Linked DNA regions of Oryzias latipes. The protein of the gene in region 5 interacts with the protein of the main gene of each other region in a pairwise test. Links are inferred from orthologs where the notes say so. Each region holds a gene or a part of one and is shown on either strand. Other genes may lie near its edges. The genes, in order: nfyc, itsn1, rbbp8, grainyhead-like protein 2 homolog and lmo4.

Region 1 (4,169 bases), on a different chromosome or scaffold from region 5:
AGGGAGTGTGTGAGGAAGAGCTAGTGAAGGCTTGCCTCTTCATGGTTTGTTCTCAAGCGGCGTCTACCTCTTCTCCCGCTGGTCATATGGGAAAGAATCCACGGGCTGCTCTCTGACAACTGCTCTCTGCTTATTTACAATGTCAAACTAAATGTCTCCCTACGCTCCGCCTTCGAGCCGCTGCTACAGGCTGGCTGCGGAGTGATGCAGGCGGCCAGGCTACACCTCACTGGCTGAGAGAGAGAAGTGCCAGAATCAATGCCGCATGTTGCATCCACATGATTTAAAGTACAAAAGCATACTAGTCAGCCTCCTTGTCTCATGTGTGTACTCAGGCTCACACGCACAACCACACTAATGCACATTTTGTCCTTGCCTCCTTATTTATTCTTATTTGCTTATTGTTATTATTGTTGCTGGTTTACCTGCAAGTATTAAGAAAATTCACAACACTGTTCGGCAAAAATATTTTGATATTCTGCGTGGACATACATTTAAAAGCTGAAATTAAGGAATATTTAAAAATAAATAAATAACTTGACAGAGCCTAAAAGCCCAAAGTTTGAAAAGTAAAAACTGGACGAAAAATAACGGAATTATTTTATCAATAAAAATGTATCAGCTGATGAGAGAGCAGCTGTGGAAGATGGTGGCATTCCTCTATTTGTGGTTAAACACGACGAAGATTACGAGTGAGAGCTAACAAACACACACATTGTTGTCTTGACCCTTCAGACTATGCTTACAGCAACTTCCACAATTCATACGTCATCACAAAACCACACCAGCAATGTCTGACAATGTCCTTCTTGTGCGCTCCACACTGGTTAAATGTGCGCACGTTCGACTCAAAAACATTTACTTTGAAAGACCAAAGAAGGATTCCACTGCTCATGTGCAGAACTCATGATAGTTGATGCCATATTAGCTAGGTACTAGGTTTCCTAGTACTAGAAACGTGTTCATGAACTCTATGTAAAACAGAAAATAAACTCTAGAAAAGTACAAAAGTACAAGGCTAATGCTGTACTTTGCTGCAACTTAAGGTTTTGAAGAACAGAATAGAAAGCAAACCTGCACCATCAATGAAAACCTGAGGGGGAGGGGAACTGGAAGGATGGAGAAGGACAGAGAGGAGAATTGTTTCAGAATAGGAGGGGTGAAATAAATGAAGGGAGGAAGAGGGAACATGACAGACTCAAAAGAAACAGAGCTAAATGTTCCTTTTTGTAGTTTCACATGGAGCATGAAGACAGGGAAAGGTACTTCCAGCAGCCAGTTAAACATGGAGTCGAGATGTAAAAAAAACCAATTAAAAAAACAATAGATATCAAATGTATTAGCAAGTTTCTTCTATGTAGATGAACCAAAAAAAAAAAAAAAGTCATGACATATGCCAAGGTCACAGAACACATTAAACCTTCCCATGACCTCTGCAGCCATACCAGAAACATTTTTGCTTTCGTTGATGCTTTTTCGAGATAAGCATACACCAAAACAGACGGTGAGTTTGATAAACACAGAAACCCTCGCGGTTAGCCATTCAGCCACAAACATGCAAATACATAACAACCTGGACTCAACTGGTAAAGTTAGCTTAAACTACAGGAAAGACCGTTTTTTATTTGTATTTACGCTGATAACAAAACATCAAAAAGCCTCAAATAATTTAGATCAAAGTGGGTATTTATTACGTAAAATGCAGCACCGCTGCACCTAGCAAAAAGTTATTATAGTATTTCAAAAAGTTTTTTATTTATTTTAGATAAATTGTGCCTCTGACATATTTTTTTAGCATTCCTGCAAACATTTTAGAAGTGCAATTTCACAATTTTACCCACCCAGCGAGTGTCAGATATGTTAGCTTAGAATTTCAGACATAATATTCTCATAAGATTCCTGTTATCCTTTGAAACGATGGTAACTTCATGGAAATTGTACCTCAAAGCAAATTAAATAGGCGGGAGACAACGCTAGGTTTTAGTCCCAACAACGCTGCAATAAATTTAAACCACGGCCGCTAAAATATTGGAAATATTAAATGTGATGTAGTGTTAGCTTAAACATCTCGGCTGCCAAAACAGTTAACGGGGAAAGAGGGCAAACAAAGCGCCGATGGTGAACTTTAGAATGGTCATCCGTGCCTTCTCGGTACCGATAGTGAAGTTAGTGTTAGCACCTTGTAGACGGCTAGTCTTACAAATGTGCGTGCAGTTCGTCGTAATATTAATTACTAAATCGCAAACTAGTTCTGTCATCATGTGAAAGTTTGCAAATCTTGGAAGAAACGGACTAACCAATAAAGACAACGTTTGGGTCTGTCCTTCAGACCAATCAAACCTCGGACTAGATTCCACCAATCAAGGTTTGTAAGGCTAAGCTCGTTCTGAAACTGACGCCATTCGGGGTCTGATAGGAATAGCCAGTGTTCAACAAAACGAATGGTAATGAGAACCAAAATGGCGGACACAAAGCAGTGGTTTCCCAACCGCCGATGATACTTTCAGCGGGCCACCAATAAGCGCCTCAGAGAGCGGGGAGGGAAATGGCGCCTGTGTTCATCACCCAAAACAATCGTCTATTGGTCAAGAACAGCAAATGGAAAAAAGGCCAATTAATTGCCGCAATTTCGACCTATCACGAGTGTACACGGCAAACACATCAATGAAATTTAATTTCTTACTTATGCTCTTTTGCGGCTTCGCGGTGAAGTCCAGTGCGGCGTATTATTTATTTTATTTAGCTTGCAAAGGGAAACAAGATGGCTGCTACCTCATACCGGAAAGGGATGAACGTACGAACGCGATGACGTATAGGTCACGACGGCATCATCCTGATACTATAAAATGCAAAAAAAAACTATAAATGCCAAATAAATTATGCAAATCAAACAGGAAATGCAGGAAAAAATGTCAATCTTAAAAATATGAAACTATGTCTTTTTGAACATATGGTAACACTAATGTGATAAGCTACAAATTATGTAATTTTATTGCTGACCAAAGAAAAATAACGTTAATAAGACATAGTTTTTTTTAATTAGGTTTATAAATAATCTAATATTTTATAAAGTCAACAATTAAATTATTTTAATTCAATGTATTTAAATAGATGAAACTATATTTTTTTAGTGTTTATCATAGTTTTTGTGTAATCTTAACAAGGGAAAGTATATAAATATTTAAAAATGTCCACAAACAAAGAAGTTTATTTCCAGTTGAGGAGCCAGTGTGGAACAGAATACATTTATAACCAAACCAACCAAGCAAAAACTTTTATAAAGATATACAACTATCATGCAGATGAGTAATAAATTCATATTTCTATACTGCATGCATATTAGAAACAGATGTGATTACATGGATGCAAATGTTTTCATTTAAATGTGTCTGTGGGTATCTAGACTTACTTGTACTGTTTTTTTACAAGCACGATTTTTATCACACATTTAATTTCATCTGGATACTTTTGATGACATGTGTTTTCAGTACAACAGTAGGAAGCTTTTATATTTAAGAATGCATAAATGGCAAAATTAAATTAAGTTTTACTCTTCACTTTATGAATTTGAAAAATACTTTTCTTTTTGATGGTGAATCTTTTTATAATTTTTCAATGATTTGCATTTTCTGATTTAACTGCTCAAATACACTGCATCATTAAATTTATGATTGCTCAATGTCATGCTAATTTTACAAAACTTTGACTTTTTTCTCTTGCTGTCCAACTAGTTTTCTATGCATAAATTTAGTATTTTTCCTCGTTTTTCTTTTCTTTTTAATCAACAAAACATAAAACGGATAATTCTGAGCTATTATCTGAAAGTACTTTTGCAGTTCATTACATCCCTGCTCAATAAACTAAAATATCTGGCAATCTCAAACTGAAGCAGCATAATAAATCCCATCTATAAAATAGGATGGAATGTCAAGGTAACATTTTTTTGACTAAAAAACACAAATGTGTCGAGCAATCATTTTTTAATTAGGTTTAGGCCAAAATGCACACATAATTTAAAAGTCAAAAATACATTTATTTTCTTTTTACTTAGTAATTTAACAAAAAAAAGACAGTGGTAGAAGATAGTTTATTGTGACAACAACATAGAAAAAAATTGTGACAAATCATTAAAGCAAAAATAAACTGAATACTAAATACATTTAAGTTAA
Region 2 (3,514 bases), on a different chromosome or scaffold from region 5:
TAGATCTTGGAACTCATCAGTCACGATGTTCCTGCTTGTTCTTTCAGAGATTGCTCAGGTGATCGCCCCCTACACTGCAACAGGGCCAGAGCAGCTGACACTGGCTCCGGGACAGCTGATCCTCATTAGGAAGAAGAATCCAGGGGGTTGGTGGGAGGGTGAGCTGCAGGTAACTAGACTGAACTTCAGTAGAGACGTTTCTGTTACAAGGGTACACTCCATACGTATTAGGATGAACACAATAGCAGAAAAAAGCTTAGAGGTTATAATGATATGAAAAACTCTGTTCAGGAAGGACCTTCTCCACCATGACATGCCGTCAACTTGTTCTTCAGAGCTGCTGGTCTTAACAGGTTTATTCAGAAAACATTTCTTCTCCCTGAACAGCAAATGCTACTTTAAGGACAATGAAGTCACATTCTGAACAGTGAGTACAGATGGTTTAAAAAGGAGTCACTCACTGGCCACTTTATCAGGTCCACCTTGCTAGGACCGGGTTGGACCCCCTTTTGCCTTCAGAACTGCCTTAATCCTTGGTGGCAGAGATTCAATCATTGTCATGTTCAAGAAACCAGTCTGAGATGATTCCAGACTAGCGCTTTATCCGTCTGGATGTAGCCATCAGAAGATGGGAGACTGTGGTCAGAAAGGGATGGACATGGTCAGCAACAATACTGGAGGCTGTGGTGTTGGAACCATCCTCAATTGGTACTAAGAGCCTCAAAGAGACCCAAGAAAATATCTCCCACACCATGATACTACCACCACCACCAGCCCTATATGCTTATACAAGGCAGGATGGCTCCATGCTTTTATGTTGTTGACGCCAATTTCTGACCCTACAATCCAAACGTTGCAACAGAAATGGAGACTCATCAGACCAGAAACAGTTTTTCCAATCTTCTGTGGTCCAGTTTTGGTGAGTCTGTGTGAATTGTAGCCTCAGTTTCCTGTTCTTAGCTGACAGGAGTGGCATCCAGTTTGGTCTTTTGCTGCTTTAGTCCATCTGCTTCAAGGTTGGAGGTGTTGTGTGTTCAGAGATGCTCTTCTGGAGACCTCAGTAACCAGTTCTTCTTTAAGTTCCTGTTGTCTTTCTATCAGCTGGAACCGGTCTGGCCATTCCCCTCTGACCTCTGGCATCAACAAGGCCTTTCCGCCCACTGAACTGCCGCTCACTGGCCACATTCAGTCACTTCAGTCACCTTTTTTCCCCAGTCTGAGGCTCAGTTTGAACTGCAGCAGACTGTCTTGACCGTGACTAAATGCCTAAATGTAATGAGTTCTGCTGCTGCTGTGTGATTGGCTGATTAGAAATGGCCTTAATGAGAAGTTGGACAGGTGTGCCGGTGAGTGTATGTCTAAACGGAGAAACCTTCCCTCAAGTCTGAAACATATTTTGTCATTAAGCTACTATTCTGTTTGAAATCTCAGCCAAAGAAAGTGGGGTGTAATTTACAACTGACACAAATAAACAAAGCCCCATCCACTCAGTCTATGGTACTTCAGCTGATGATTCTGACGTGAATGTCTATATTCTTATGTGCTGAAGTGTGCTCATCACTTCAAAGCATCAGCTTTTCAACAATAGCAACATCTGCAGACCACACACACACACACACACAGACACACAGCAGATAGGACCATAACAGATACTGGAATGATACATGAAAAATCTCCAATACCACCAAAAGTCCAGCTGCTCTGAAGAATTCGTAAAGGTTTTTTTTTTTTTTTCAAAAGACAACGATTAGGTTTGTAATGATTAAAACAAACTGTCCACATTGCAGCTTTGGTTGTTGACGTGCATTTAATAAACAACCACAATGACAAATCTTCTCTGGGTGCAGGCTCGAGGGAAAAAGAGACAGATAGGCTGGTTTCCTGCCAATTATGTCAAGCTGCTGAGCCCCAGCACCAGCAAGACCACTCCCACTGAGCCAAATGCCTCCAAACTGGCCCCTCCCACCACAGGTACACATTCTGACAGTTACAGGGTTTAGCCCTGCATAACCCATTGTTTGACTCAAAAAGAAAGTGGATTTGTGTGAACACCGCTGACATGTAGCTACAGTTAAAACATGCCAAACACTTTACATAAAACACAATTATTTGTCCACCTCAGTTTCTTTAAGAAACCATTAACCTAAAATGAAATTACCTGAAACCGACAGCTAAAAATATTTGGAAAAATTAACAAAAAATCACTTTGATTTGATTTCTTGTTCAACTGATTCAACAAATTAACAGTCTTGGTCAAAAAGGATTTTTTTAAAACAGTTTTTAAATAAAAGATGGGTAACATGCAGGTGTTTCCTTAGCATAACAAGTGTTCTCAAGCCTGCAATCAGTTTGCTGGTCTTACAACAACCTCTTAGCTGTTTGGTAACATATTGTGTATCACACCAGGAAAAGACCACTGACAGACTAGTTTGTTTGGATATTTAAGAGAAAATCTTGAATGTGATAGACCTCCCAAAGACATTCAAGGTCACAGCTGAGCTGAAATTAAAGATCTCTAAATGTGTGCTATGATGTTCTAAAGCAGTGGTCCCAAACACTTTTGAGGAACTTTGTGACAACCTGCACACAATAAAACAAAAATAATGTTAACATACATTATTTCTGTTTTATTTTCTGATTCTGAAAGGAGTTTTATTTTGGAAAACCACCAGATTCTGTCCCCCACGTTTGTCGTTTGACTTACTATTGACACATGCCAAGACGTTGGTCACAGATCTCAGATATATTTGCTACCTTCTTGAAGCGACTGCTCTGATCGCTAACTAAGAGCCCACAGCTAGCAAAGTTAACAAATCCAAATGTCTTAAGAGAGTTTCTCTGGGCAGAAGAGAGCAAGTGAGGAACTTGAAGAAGTGCTTTCAAATTCAAAGAAAAAAATCATCTGCATTTAACATAAGACTTAATTAAATTATGGATTTTTTGCAAGACTTGTTTCCATACCCCAAGCTTATTCCTCTGCACAATATGCAGCAACCAACTCCCTTATGTTACAAATATGCTGCTAATAAAGTTGCAAATAAAAGTTTTATAATGGTATCATTTTATTTTGTAGTTTTTGTCCCTCCAAACCTTAAAAGTCAGATGAGGCTAAAGTTGGTGTTCAGTGGCTAGCAGGTTAAAGGTAAATCTAGGTTTGGCACAAAACCTAGACTACAAAGAAAGTTTAAACCGACTACATTGTACAGAGAACAAAGATGCTGATTTATGGAAACTTGCCAAAAGGTCATTTAAGAATTTTCCAACAGCAAAGCTAAGTAAAGAAGGTACCTGTTAAGAAACTTTACCACAGATAGGACTGCTCTATATTAAAGAGAAATCAGTATTTCAAGATTTAATAAAAAAAACTAGATATAAAGCATTATCTGAGTTACTGCAAGTGTGAATGCTGTAAGCAGAATGTGGCTGCTAAAGAGCCTGAGGCCCCTAGGGAAGTGGGGAAAAGGCAGTTTTCCCAAGCTCTGTGCAGATCCTGGGAACAAAGAGGACAAACTGG
Region 3 (4,078 bases), on a different chromosome or scaffold from region 5:
TCCTACCACCACTTTGCAGTCAATAACCTCTCTCAAATGACCTCGTCTACATAGGATGTAGTCCACCTGAGTACTCCTACCTCCACTTCTGTATGTCACTCTATGTTCCTCTCTCTTCTGGAAGTAAGTGTTGACTACAGCCATTTCCATCCTCTTCGCAAAGTCCACCACCATCTGTCCCTCCAGATTCCTTTCCTTCACACCAAACCTGCCCATCACCTCCTCATCACCTCTGTTGCCCTCACCAACATGCCCATTAAAGTCTGCTCCAATAACAACTCTCTCTCCTCTGGGGATACTCTCTATGACCTCATCCAACTCACTCCAGAATCTCTCCTTCACTTCTAACTCACAGCCAACCTGTGGCGCATACCCACTGACTACATTCACCATCACCCCTTCGATTTCTAACTTTAAGCTCATCATCCTGTCTGAGACTCTTTTCACCTCTAGAACACTGTTTACAAACTCCCCCTTCAGAATCACTCCTACCCCGTTTCTCTTCCTATCAACACCATGATAGAACAGTTTGTATCCTCCTCCAATACTACGTGCCTTGCTGCCCTTCCACCTTGTCTCCTGCACACACAGTACATCTACCTTCCTTCTCTCCATCATGTCTGCCAGCTCTCTGCCTTTCCCTGTCATTGTGCCAACGTTAAGAGTCCCTATTCTCAAACCTATGTTCCTGCCTTTTCCCTTCTCTCTCTGGCCACGGGCCCTTCTGCCTCCCCTCTTTCTTCGACCAACAGTAGTCAAATTTCCACCGACACCCTGTAGGTTAACAGCATCGGTGGCGGTCGTTGTTAACCCGGGCCTCGACCGATCCGGTATGTCTAAAGTGTTGTGGATGATTCGCATGGTTATTTTGGCAATTTTTACGCCGGATGCCCTTCCTGACGCAACCCTCTCTATTTATCCGGGCTTGGGACCGGCACAGAGGCAACTGGCTTGCAACCCCTGTGGCTAGCCATTATTAACTCTGTAAAGGCCAATAAAGAATTGAAATGGAATAAATGTTTTCTCCTTAAAACTAAATTATATATTTTTATTGCTGTGGGTAAAACATATTTGTGAAATTTGGCAACATATTTATTTGAATAGTTAAAAAAATAGATTAAGTCCTCATACATCAAACCGAAGTGGTAAAAATAGTTTCCACTAAATTTGATGTTCATCATCAGCGATTCTTTTAACCACCACTCTTTGAACAGCAGGAGGCGCTCGAGCGTCCAGTCTGCTACATTTTCAGGGCCACAAAGAAGAGTTCCCAGCATGCACTTCTTCGGCGCGGAAATTTCAATGGATTTTCAATGCGAGATGAAAGTCTGAGGAGAGAGCTCACGAAGGAACAAGTCTGCCGTGTTTCGGCGTTCAACCAGCTCAGTTTTTGTAAGTACGTTTGTGAAAAGCTGCGTTTAAATTCACCGCGTTGTTTGGAACAAAATAGTGGGTTTGAAAAACTAATACTTGTAAAACTTCTACTGAACTACTAGAAGTTCTATAAATACACTTTTCTATGTACTGGAGGCTGACATGGCGTTTAATAACAAATAAATATTCACGTCCATCTTATTTTTTTCTTTAAATTATGTGGGCTGTTTGCGGAGAGGTGTGAAAGATGAGTGGATCAGGTGACAGCAGTGGGACGATCAAAGCAGCTGATCCCTTTGAGGATCTGTGGCGGCAGCTGGGAGAGTGTCATCATCACGTGACTGGAGGTAAACGACTGCTGGTTATCGGGCAAGGAGTGACACTGATAAACAAGGAATGGATCAGGAAACAAGTATGGATTTTCTTTAGAAAAGACAATTCTAGCTGTATAAAAACACAAGAACAGATTAAGCAGTGTAGTTTTTTTAATTTTTATTTATTTTATTGACCAATTGCAACATCCAGAACAAAAAAAAATGCAACAATTATGTACATATAATGTACATTACAATTCTGAATACAGAAAAAACGTGTTACATCCTTAGGAAGATTTTAATTATTAACAATAATTACAAAAAGATTAAGCAGTGTAGTTTTTTTTTAGATTAGCAGTGTAGTGCAGATCCGGCTTTTACCGGCCATGACGTCATCTGCGTGAGCCTGAAATCTCCTGCATTTTTAAAACAAAGTTAAAAAACAAACACTAAATTTTATTTTCAGTGTTATTACAATATGTTTTCAATAAAAATAATTATTAGTGTACAAATAAATGGGTGATTTTTACCTGTACTTTAGCAGAAATGTACACTTCACCTATAAAACTGTAGAAGAAGCATTGTTTGCTTTTGTTCAGAGCTAAAGGAAGGATAAACTAAAACACACGGAGCCAGAATTGAATCAAAAGGTAACAAGTCCTTAGTAAATGAGTAAAAATGTGATGCTGGTTTGTTTGCATTCAATCAATGGCATAAAAATGCAAACAAAAAAAAAAGGAATTGGCAACTGAAAGCATTACATGCAATTTGGTAATTTACTGCAGAAACTCTTAAACAAAATAAGAATAAATAATAATAACTTTTTCTATGGGAATAACTTTTTCCCATAGAGCTGGAAGCAAAGGTGAGCCGGCTGAAAAAGGACCGCTGCCTGTAAGTCCTGATGGATTTTTGTTTTAAGGAACGCCAATAATCATAACGCATTCCTTCATAGTTAAGGAATGGCAGTCAAAGTGACGTTTGTTTGTTGCAGAGATGCTCAGAGACTTGAGGTGTTTTACAACCGTAACCAGCATCTGAAGGAGGAGAACAAAACCCTGCACGACACCATCCACCTCCTAGAGGAAAGGTAACATCCTCCAGCGTTTGTCACACTCTGGACCAACAGAACCGGCTACGTTTGATCATCCGGTTTTGCTCAATCAACAGAGGGTGCTCCGGTCTGGGTGTTGGGGTCACCAAAGGGGGGGTAGTTTGCTAAAGAGAGGCAAGAAAAACAAAAGTTTTGTTGTTCTTTGTTTTTCAGGCTCAGAGCAGGAGAGTGCGACCGTTGTGTTGTCTTGGAGGAAAAGCTGAAGAGCAGCCTGGATCAGAATCTCAGACTTCTTGATGAACTGAGTGAGTCCCAGAAGGAGCTCCTCTCAAAAATAAAAACACGTGCACCATCTTTTTAAAATAAAATCAAAAGAGGATGTGGGAGGTGGATCGGCTTTCAGTTGCAGCCAATCATGTCTGGAGGGGAAACGGTTGCTGCGGCTTTTCCCTTTTTGTTTGATGAAGCGCTGATGGAGGTGGAGGACAGCCGTCTTGGAATGATGGTGCTGAGAAACTTTTAACTTCTTATTCAGGAATTGAAAGAAACAACCTGCAGGATGAAAACAGGAAACTCCGTGCTGAGATACAAAAGCTGAAAGCATCGTGGTGAGTTTTCTGTAAATCTTCTTCCTTTCAGGGAAAATGTTGCCTCCAACCTTCCCAAAACGTACCTAAATTTGCATTTACCTAGTACCCAGTCAAAATGACTTTTGGGCATTTGGGGCCAAAGTCTCTTATGGGTCCAAAAAAAAGTAACAAACCAAAACACACGTGTGTGGAAGATGTAGATTTTGAATGGCGTTAGCGTAGCAAGTTTGCCAAAATGGCGTTTCCCTGTTGCTCACATAGTTTTTACTGGAATATTGTGAAAATACACGAGTCGACAGCTCAGGCTGAACAAAAACAATGTCTGATTGAACATATTAGGAATGCGAGGGTGGTTAACAAAAAACCTCTGTTGCTAAGGAAATCCCAAAAAATTATTTTTGCCTGTTCTTCTAAACGTGACTCAAACATGTTCGTCACCCCCAGGCGACAAAAAATTAAAATGGTTGCTATGGAGGCAAAACCAACCGAAGGCTCCTTTTTTTTTTTTAGTTTTCATGAATTTGTTATGTGGCTCTGACTGGGGTGGCAGAGGGAGAGTAAGGGGGGGGGGGGGGGGGTAGCAGCCGCTCAGCCATCATAGGATGGCGAGGGCAGAGGCGTGTAGCGTCTGCTGCTCACGCCTTCATTTTATTTCAATATCTAAAAATGTTTTCCTCATTAATGGTAACATTTAAATAAATAAAAATATTTTCTCTAAAATTTATCACAGAAACGTGTCTTATTTT
Region 4 (3,514 bases), on a different chromosome or scaffold from region 5:
GCAGTGGAATTTCTAACAAGGTTGTTCAATAGGATTTTAGAGAGTGAGAAGATGCCTGAGGAATGGAGGAGAAGCGTTCTGGTCCCAATCTTTAAGAACAAGGGTGACACGCAGAACTGCAGCAACTATAGAGGAATAAAGTTGATGAGCCACACAATGAAGCTGTGGGAAAGAGTAGTGGAAGCCAGGCTTAGGAAGAAGGTGGAGATTTGTGAGCAGCAGTATGGTTTCATGCCCCGTAAGAGCACCACTGATCCCATTTTTGCTTTGAGAATGTTGATGGAAAAGTACAGAGAAGGTCAGAAGGAGCTGCATTGTGTGTTCGTAGATTTAGAGAAGGCGTATGACAGGGTGCCGAGGGAGGAGCTGTGGTACTGTATGAGGTCGTCTGGAGTGGCAGAAAAGTATGTCAGAGTAGTTCAGGACATGTATGAGAGAAGTATGACGGTGGTGAGATGTGCTGTAGGTCAGACAGAGGAGTTCAAGGTGGAGGTGGGACTACACCAAGGATCAGCTTTGAGTCCTTTTTTGTTTGCTATGCTGATGGACAGGCTGACAGATGAGGTAAGACAGGAATCTCCCTGGACAATGATGTTTGCGGATGACATTGTAATTTGCAGTGAGAGTAGAGAGCAGGTGGAGGAACAGCTAGAGAGGTGGAGGTTTGCTCTGGAAAGAAGAGGTATGAAGGTCAGTCGTAGTAAGACAGAATACATGTGTCTGAACGAGAGGGATCAAGGTAGAAGCGTTAGGTTACAGGGGGCTGAGGTGAAGAAGGTGCAGGAGTTTAAGTACTTGGGGTCAACAGTTCAGTGTGATGGGGAGTGTGGAAAAGAGGTGAAGAGGCGAGTGCAGGCAGGTTGGAGCGGTTGGAGGAAAGTGTCAGGAGTGTTGTGTGACAGAAGAGTGCCAGCAAGACTCAAAGGAAAGGTGTACAAGACAGTGGTGAGACCAGCTCTGCTCTATGGGTTAGAGACGGTAGCAGTGAGACAGAGACAAGAGGCTGAGATGGAGGTAGCGGAGATGAAGATGTTGAGGTTCTCCTTAGGAGTGACCAGGTTAGACAGGATAAGGAACGAGTACATCAGAGGGACGGCTCATGTTGCCTGTGTCAGCGACAAAGTCAGAGAAGCCAGACTGAGATGGTTTGGACATGTTCAGAGGAGGGATAGTGGATATATTGGTAGAAGGATGTTGGAGATGGAGCTGCCTGGCAGGAGGGCAAGAGGACGGCCAAAGAGGAGATACATGGATGTCTTAACAGAGGACATGAAGTTGGCTAATGTTAGGGTAGAAGATGTCCATGATAGAGTGAGGTGGAAAAGGATGATTCGCTGTGGCGACCCCTGATGGGAAAAGCCGAAAGAGAAAGAAGATCTGTGTTGAAGATAAACTCTTTACAGGTGACAAAAGTGTCTGACGTGAAAGTGATAGTTTAACAATAGGTTGTTAAAATTCAGGATTTTTGGAATCTCTTTGAACAATTAAAGATGGAGGCCTCCCATCCTGGAAAACTGACTTTTATTTTATTTTTCTGTCTGCTTCCGATCCCACATTGGTCCTTCTTCAGCTCTCCTACAGTGAGTTATGTGGCCATAAACTACAAACATGTGGATTTCAGTCTTTCTCGTCTCTGGAGAGAAATGATGTTTTCTGGACTCTTTTGCAGGAACCTTTCATCACCTTGTCACAGAAGACCTTGATCTGCGAGTAGGCCCTATGCAGGGGCTTGTTGCTGCGGTTGTTGTAACTGTAGGTGTCGATCTGGATCATGAGCGGGAGACCCTTGACCCCTTTCTGAGAGGAGAAGTCTGTGCTCAGACAGTTGACTGTGATGAAGATCTTCAAAAGAGAGAAAAAGGAAGGAAAAAAAGGTTTAAAATGAGTCTTTACATGCAGCTGCATTTTAAGTCTAAGGATTATGTTCAGGTTCACTTTAGTAAAAACCTGAATCTTGTTAAAGTTTAAAAATGTTTCATTGATTACAGAAGTGAAACTGGTATTTGATATAAAACTAATACTTCCCTAGAAATTCCCCAGAAATCTTTGCAAAACAATAAAAAAACAATGTGCATTAATGCTCATATAGACAACAATGTTCTCTGTAAAATGCTTATATTTATTAGGCTTTTACTTTGGCAAATAGGTGACATCATATCTGCTGTTTCAGAAAAAGAAAAGTAGTGAGCCTGGTGTCCAGATTACATTCAAATCCAGGGCTTGGATTGTCCCGCACTAAATGGTCTTTTAGGAGTTAGGGAGGGAATCTGGATGTAAAAAAAACAGTTTTGGAGCCTCACAGTGTCACACCCTGATCAGATAATCAACTCAAACACCGGCAAAGGTTTCCTAAGCCCTTAAACAGCCACTCAGTCTGAGTCAGAAAGCCACACTGTTACAGGAGAGAGTCTTCACAGCCTTCACACGGACGGACATCATGCTAACTGTTCACAGAGTGCTGTTTCCTGGGGAGGGGGGGTAAAGGTGGCTGATTCTAGGGGCCCAGACTGAGGGGGGGGGGGGGGGGGGGCACATAGGTCCCTAAAGATGATGAAATGATAAAACAGACTAATTGCAGTAAGTCATTAACCAATATATAATTAAAAATATTTTATTTTCAATGTCATGGTAACAATATTATTTTGTCTTGGAAACATGAAGTTCTGCAGCCCCCACCCCAATTTTTATTTTTAAATGTGTCCGAATTTCTACCTTAATCCCTAACAACTAGTCCGGCACTATGTAGTGCCCTGGATTATGAAAGCAAGTCAGACACCACGCTCACTACTTTTTCTTATACGGCGGATAAGGCGTCATCGATTTCACAAAGTTGAAATTTAATTAATATGAGCGTTTTATGACAATTATTTATGAATCCACTGTCTTCTGAAGATAAAAACGTTGATGGTTTATCAAAAAAATATATTTAAATTCATTTTTTTGGCAAAAATTGTTCAGACGCAATGCATAGTGGTTTATATTCGCTGAGCATATTCTAGTGAGCATCGATGCACACTGGTTTTTCACAGAGACTTCTGGGAAATTTCCAGGGCACTCAATTTTGGAATTGTAGATTTGGACAACACTATAAAATGGTGAACGTACTATAGCGTGCACCATGTAGTGATTAGTGAAGGAATTTGGACACAACCCTAGTTTGTGACAGGCAGCGTGAAAATGAAAAAGCATTTCTGTTAAACCATTTTAATTGTCAAATTAAATATTTCTAATTGAATTTAACTACACATTTACTAGAGAACTTTTTGAAAATGAAATGTCTAATACCATTTTCTTCATCATTTTAATTAAGTGACAGAATAAGCGGTGTTGAAAAATAAAAAGCCATTTTGCGGATTGATTTTTTAATTTAATTTTTGAGTCAACAAACGCAGCTTTAATGTGAAAATACAAAAATCATTTCCGGTATAGACTTTTATTTTGAAATATGAGACACATATGCTTCTATGTGTGGTGCCGCTGGCTGTATCCAAGCATTTTAACAGAAGATTGAGAG
Region 5 (4,023 bases):
TTTGTTTGCAGTGTGGCTCTCATTCATTTCGGACACGTCATTGGTAGCAGAAACAAGCCAGGGACCAGATCTCATTAGATAAAACCCATCAGGACTGAAGGAAATGGAGGGGGGACTATAATTAAAGCATTTAATTGTGTAGAGTCTCTCTCAGATGTTTTCTCTGCCTCCCTCTCCCAGCCATACTTCAGCGTTTTTATCTCTGCACAGATCTCCTGCCTCCATAATCTGCGCTTTAGCTCTTTCACCAAGCATGCTCTCAATACAAGTGGAAAGGTGTATCCACACTTCCTCCCGCTCCAATTTTAATTACGTTATAGTACCATTATGAATGAAGTACCCCATTGACTTCCCACTGCTTTATATGAGGTGGGAGTAAGAGCGCACGGGCGCACTTTAGATCTGGAATCATCTGTGCAGATCTGCTGGCTGCACATCCAAAAACAACTCAAATGGGCGAGATTTTGTACCTTTAAGCAGAAACATTCCCATTCAGCTGAACTGAATGACAGGAGAGGCCAAAGCAGCTGATGAACACTCTTCCTGCTCCCAATAGGGTTCTTTTTTTAAACTTCAACAAGAGAAATACATCTCTTTTCCTGATTGAATTTACATAAAGTCCTGCACGCCATGAGGAAGACTTGTAATATTAGTGTCTGGGATACATAAGCAAAGGGCATTTTTTTTCTTCATTTCGGTGCAACTTTTTTATTTCAATAAAAGTCAACATAACTTCATTTATAATCCAAATGACCCTCGTCTACAAAGGAGGCAGACAGTTGACATAAAAGGGCTGCATCTGATTGGTCAAAGGGCTCCATTTAATTTGTTAAGCGGCCATAAGATTGTTTATGTGTGAACATTTAAAAAGTAACCATTTATCCCTAATTTAGGCTGCCTGTTGCCATATGCGTATAGGTTGATATTGCGATGAGGATACATTTGTGATGCAGGCCTATCTAAATGTCTCACCTACAGAGTGCGTTTGTGTCCTTGGACAGCCCCACAGAAACGGCCCTAACCCCCCCTTCTCACCTGATGTAATCGTTTCTGCAGAGGATCATGCCGCTTTTCGTGTAGCACGACGTGCCGATTTCGCCCAGCTGGGCCTGGCAGCAGGAGCACTTCAGGCAGCGGCTGTGCCAGTAGGTGTCCATGGTGTAGAGGAGGAAGCGGTCTGCGATTTTGCCCCCGCAGCCCGCACACCGCTTCCAGGACAGGGAACCGGCGCCCACCGCCGGCGGCTGGCTGCTGCCTCCAGGATTCACCATGGTCTCTGAAAAAACAAAACAAAAACAAACATCACGTGTTGATACCAGGTATGCAACATCATCCTAGCAGATAATGGCAGAGTTTTACACCACCTTTGTGGAGATTGTTAACTTTGCAGCTGCAGACTCTGTGACCCCCCAGCAAAGAGAAGGAGCTGATCTCATTACACGAACAAGCCATGTTCTGCTATGAGTCATTTAGTGAATTAATCTGCCCTTGATCTCTGCCTGTGTGGCCCCTGCGCGGGGGCATCGCTGCTGATGAATGTCTGTTAACTGATAACACTGTGGGGCCAAAGGAACAATTCTGCTGCCTCTAAAGTGAAAGCAGTGCCTCTGACTGACTGACTGAGCAGCACAGCCGCTCCTGCTTGTTTACCAACACCTGATGCCCCGCGGGCTTCCACCGACCTGCCCGCCATAACTTCACCGCCAAACGGCCGTTCCCTTCCAGACGTTAATACGTGCTCGGACCCCCCACCCCCATCCACCCTCCTCCACCACCATCACCACCACTCCGGGGCAGCAGCGACGCCGGGATATAAAGCCAAATCTTTGTTGAAAGGCAGGTAGGCCAATTAGGGAAGGAGAAGGCGCGGGGAGGGGGCGCGCGCGCGCACAGACAGAGCAGCATTCAGTAAGCCCATTAGCGATGGCTCTTAGGGACGAACCGCGGCGAACCTCCGCGCTGATTACATCTAAAAGCAGATGAAAAAAAAAAAAAAAACACAACAAAACAAAAAGCCGACCTGAAAGTGACTCCACGCACGAACCGGGCGAGCCATCGTCAAGTTTCCAACAGGCGGGGCAGGAGGAGGAGGAGGGGAGGCTTTTTAGATTAAATGGGTAAGTAATTACACGGTCAGGCAATTTGGGCACAGAGACTAAGACATGGAAATGGAAGGGAGAAAAGGCGAGTGCTAAAGGTCCTGAAAGCTGCTTTTCAACCGGAAAATGTAAAGATTATTGCGGGATAATTACACGGCCATGGGTTCAGTGAAAAAACAAGAGTCTCGGGTATCAAATATCACAGCTATCTTCAAAAGAAAACACGCTTTCAGAGGCAAAGTCTAGACTTTGACACACATATACTCACTTCGTTGGAGTTTAATGGCTGAAGTTCGGGTCTGAAGATTGCGTAGGAGAACGGGTAAGCTCCAGCAGTCCCCAAAAAGTCAAGGAAAAAATGTTTTATTTAAAAAAATAAATAAATAAAAAAGTGCGCCGTCGGTGTCCAGCCCCGCGCGGCAGCGAGCTCGCGACTCGTACAGCGGAGCAAATGGAGTTATCAGATAGTATTTCCAGCGGACGGTTCCTGCTTTTCTGAAAGCGATTTGTGGCCGATGACGGACCCAAAGCTGTCCATCGCAGGATGATTAGGTCTCCGAGACAGTAAAGTTCCCCAAAAGAGCAGAGAAGAGCGGCACAAACCGAGATTATGACGCGAATAACGGAGCACAGGAAATACGACGGTGGATCCGCGGGCAGCTTGTTCTACATGTGTCTCTGACAGGAAGAAACCTCCAGTAAAAAACCCTCTTTAGCCGCGTGACGACAAAGCCCTCTCAGCCAATCCGCTGGCAGCTCATTTAAGAACACCGAATCCAGCCAATCAGAGCAGAGAGAGACTTAGCAAGAGACGCACACAAACAATGTTGTTACACTGGCAAAGACAGGACCCCCCCCCCCCCCCCCAACACTTCTTAAAAACTGAATTTAATGTTTCAATACCCAAAATCTAAAATAGTCAAATTCAGAATCAATTTGAACGTCATTTCTTAATCTCGAAATCACTGCCTGGCTGTGATTAGAGCATCATGGGAAGTCTCTGATTATCTGCATCTCCCTGTAGCATCAGCTCCAAGCTGCATGGCAACATCCAGTAAACTGCATTCACCTCACGTCACAGTTTAATTAGATGACATTCAATAACTACTTAGTTTACTGAGAGTGACTCCAACCTCTGGGAACTGGCGGGACAACAGCTGCGCGGTGGCGCCATCGTCTGCCACCCACAGTAATTGCAGGGAGACTTTCTGCTTTGAAAACCCCATTAAAGTCCACAGGTCATTGATTTCAACACTGAATCTGATTTGTCTGAGGGTTTTCTTTACATGTATTTATCTTAACATTAATATCATGGCAAGCATGAGAGATTAATCATGAACTACATGCGAGAAATGTGTTGCATGTGTCACAAGTTGACATGAAAATATGGCTCTTTTTATTGTATTTTTATTTTAGTTTTTTACTTTAGAAACAAGAAAAATAAAATATAATGCAAAAGAGAAGTTATCTTCAAAGAGATTAACCAGGTTTAAGAGTTTTACATGACAAAAAAAAAGAAAAAAATCCATTTGGATATGATACCCCTGGCTTTGGATGTGTAAAGATGATCTTTTTCTTGACTTTAATTGTTTAATTATTCTCGCAGCTCTGAGGAGATTGCTTTGCATCACACTGATTTCCCTTTTGGCAAAGCCAGCGCTGATCCACCTTGGTTTGAGCCGCATTCTCTTGACACTCTCATCAAGCTTGCCTCTTACCAGAACAAAAACATCCACAGAAGATTGCAAAGAATATCTTTTCCACCAAGGAATGATTAATTGATATAAATGATTAAAACAGAGGGAAATTAGAAAATGAATTTGAAAAGAGGCCTCACAGGAAAAGCTTTGTTTGTTCCAGTCCTCTTTTTAATGAGCTTTTCATAACTGGGCAGGAGAAATTACTTCTTGCAAAAATAATTATT

Evidence for each region.
Region 1: the proteins of lmo4 (region 5) and nfyc interact in binary tests that used the Homo sapiens proteins (3 or more experiments, as listed by UniProt). The link is inferred for Oryzias latipes from reciprocal best matches to the Homo sapiens genes LMO4 and NFYC.
Region 2: the proteins of lmo4 (region 5) and itsn1 interact in binary tests that used the Homo sapiens proteins (3 or more experiments, as listed by UniProt). The link is inferred for Oryzias latipes from reciprocal best matches to the Homo sapiens genes LMO4 and ITSN1.
Region 3: the proteins of lmo4 (region 5) and rbbp8 interact in binary tests that used the Homo sapiens proteins (3 or more experiments, as listed by UniProt). The link is inferred for Oryzias latipes from reciprocal best matches to the Homo sapiens genes LMO4 and RBBP8.
Region 4: the proteins of lmo4 (region 5) and grainyhead-like protein 2 homolog interact in binary tests that used the Homo sapiens proteins (3 or more experiments, as listed by UniProt). The two-hybrid records come from large-scale screens. The link is inferred for Oryzias latipes from reciprocal best matches to the Homo sapiens genes LMO4 and GRHL2.

What each region holds. Positions count from the first base shown.
Region 1 is NC_019869.2:22,272,686-22,276,854, reverse strand, and holds the start of nfyc (nuclear transcription factor Y subunit gamma), read right to left. Parts: upstream 2,813-4,169; 5' UTR 2,684-2,812; intron 2,318-2,683; exon of another isoform or gene 2,298-2,317; intron 150-2,297; exon of another isoform or gene 36-149; intron 1-35. UniProt on the Homo sapiens protein: Component of the sequence-specific heterotrimeric transcription factor (NF-Y) which specifically recognizes a 5'-CCAAT-3' box motif found in the promoters of its target genes.
Region 2 is NC_019873.2:615,968-619,481, forward strand, and holds part of itsn1 (intersectin-1), read left to right. Parts: intron 1-47; coding exon 48-169; intron 170-1,847; coding exon 1,848-1,971; intron 1,972-3,514. UniProt on the Homo sapiens protein: Adapter protein that provides a link between the endocytic membrane traffic and the actin assembly machinery. Acts as a guanine nucleotide exchange factor (GEF) for CDC42, and thereby stimulates actin nucleation mediated by WASL and the ARP2/3 complex.
Region 3 is NC_019878.2:11,812,796-11,816,873, forward strand, and holds the start of rbbp8 (DNA endonuclease RBBP8), read left to right. Parts: upstream 1-1,264; 5' UTR 1,265-1,392; intron 1,393-1,597; 5' UTR 1,598-1,621; coding exon 1,622-1,721; intron 1,722-2,539; coding exon 2,540-2,582; intron 2,583-2,682; coding exon 2,683-2,778; intron 2,779-2,955; coding exon 2,956-3,047; intron 3,048-3,277; coding exon 3,278-3,350; intron 3,351-4,078. UniProt on the Homo sapiens protein: Endonuclease that cooperates with the MRE11-RAD50-NBN (MRN) complex in DNA-end resection, the first step of double-strand break (DSB) repair through the homologous recombination (HR) pathway.
Region 4 is NC_019869.2:7,142,551-7,146,064, forward strand, and holds part of grainyhead-like protein 2 homolog, read right to left. Parts: intron 1,843-3,514; coding exon 1,684-1,842; intron 1-1,683. UniProt on the Homo sapiens protein: Transcription factor playing an important role in primary neurulation and in epithelial development. Binds directly to the consensus DNA sequence 5'-AACCGGTT-3' acting as an activator and repressor on distinct target genes.
Region 5 is NC_019862.2:4,585,747-4,589,769, reverse strand, and holds the start of lmo4 (LIM domain transcription factor LMO4), read right to left. Parts: upstream 2,813-4,023; 5' UTR 2,368-2,812; intron 1,400-2,367; 5' UTR 1,365-1,399; intron 1,277-1,364; 5' UTR 1,272-1,276; coding exon 1,036-1,271; intron 1-1,035. UniProt on the Homo sapiens protein: Transcription cofactor. Plays a role in establishing motor neuron identity, in concert with MNX1, acting, at least in part, to disrupt LDB1-LHX3 complexes thereby negatively modulating interneuron genes in motor neurons.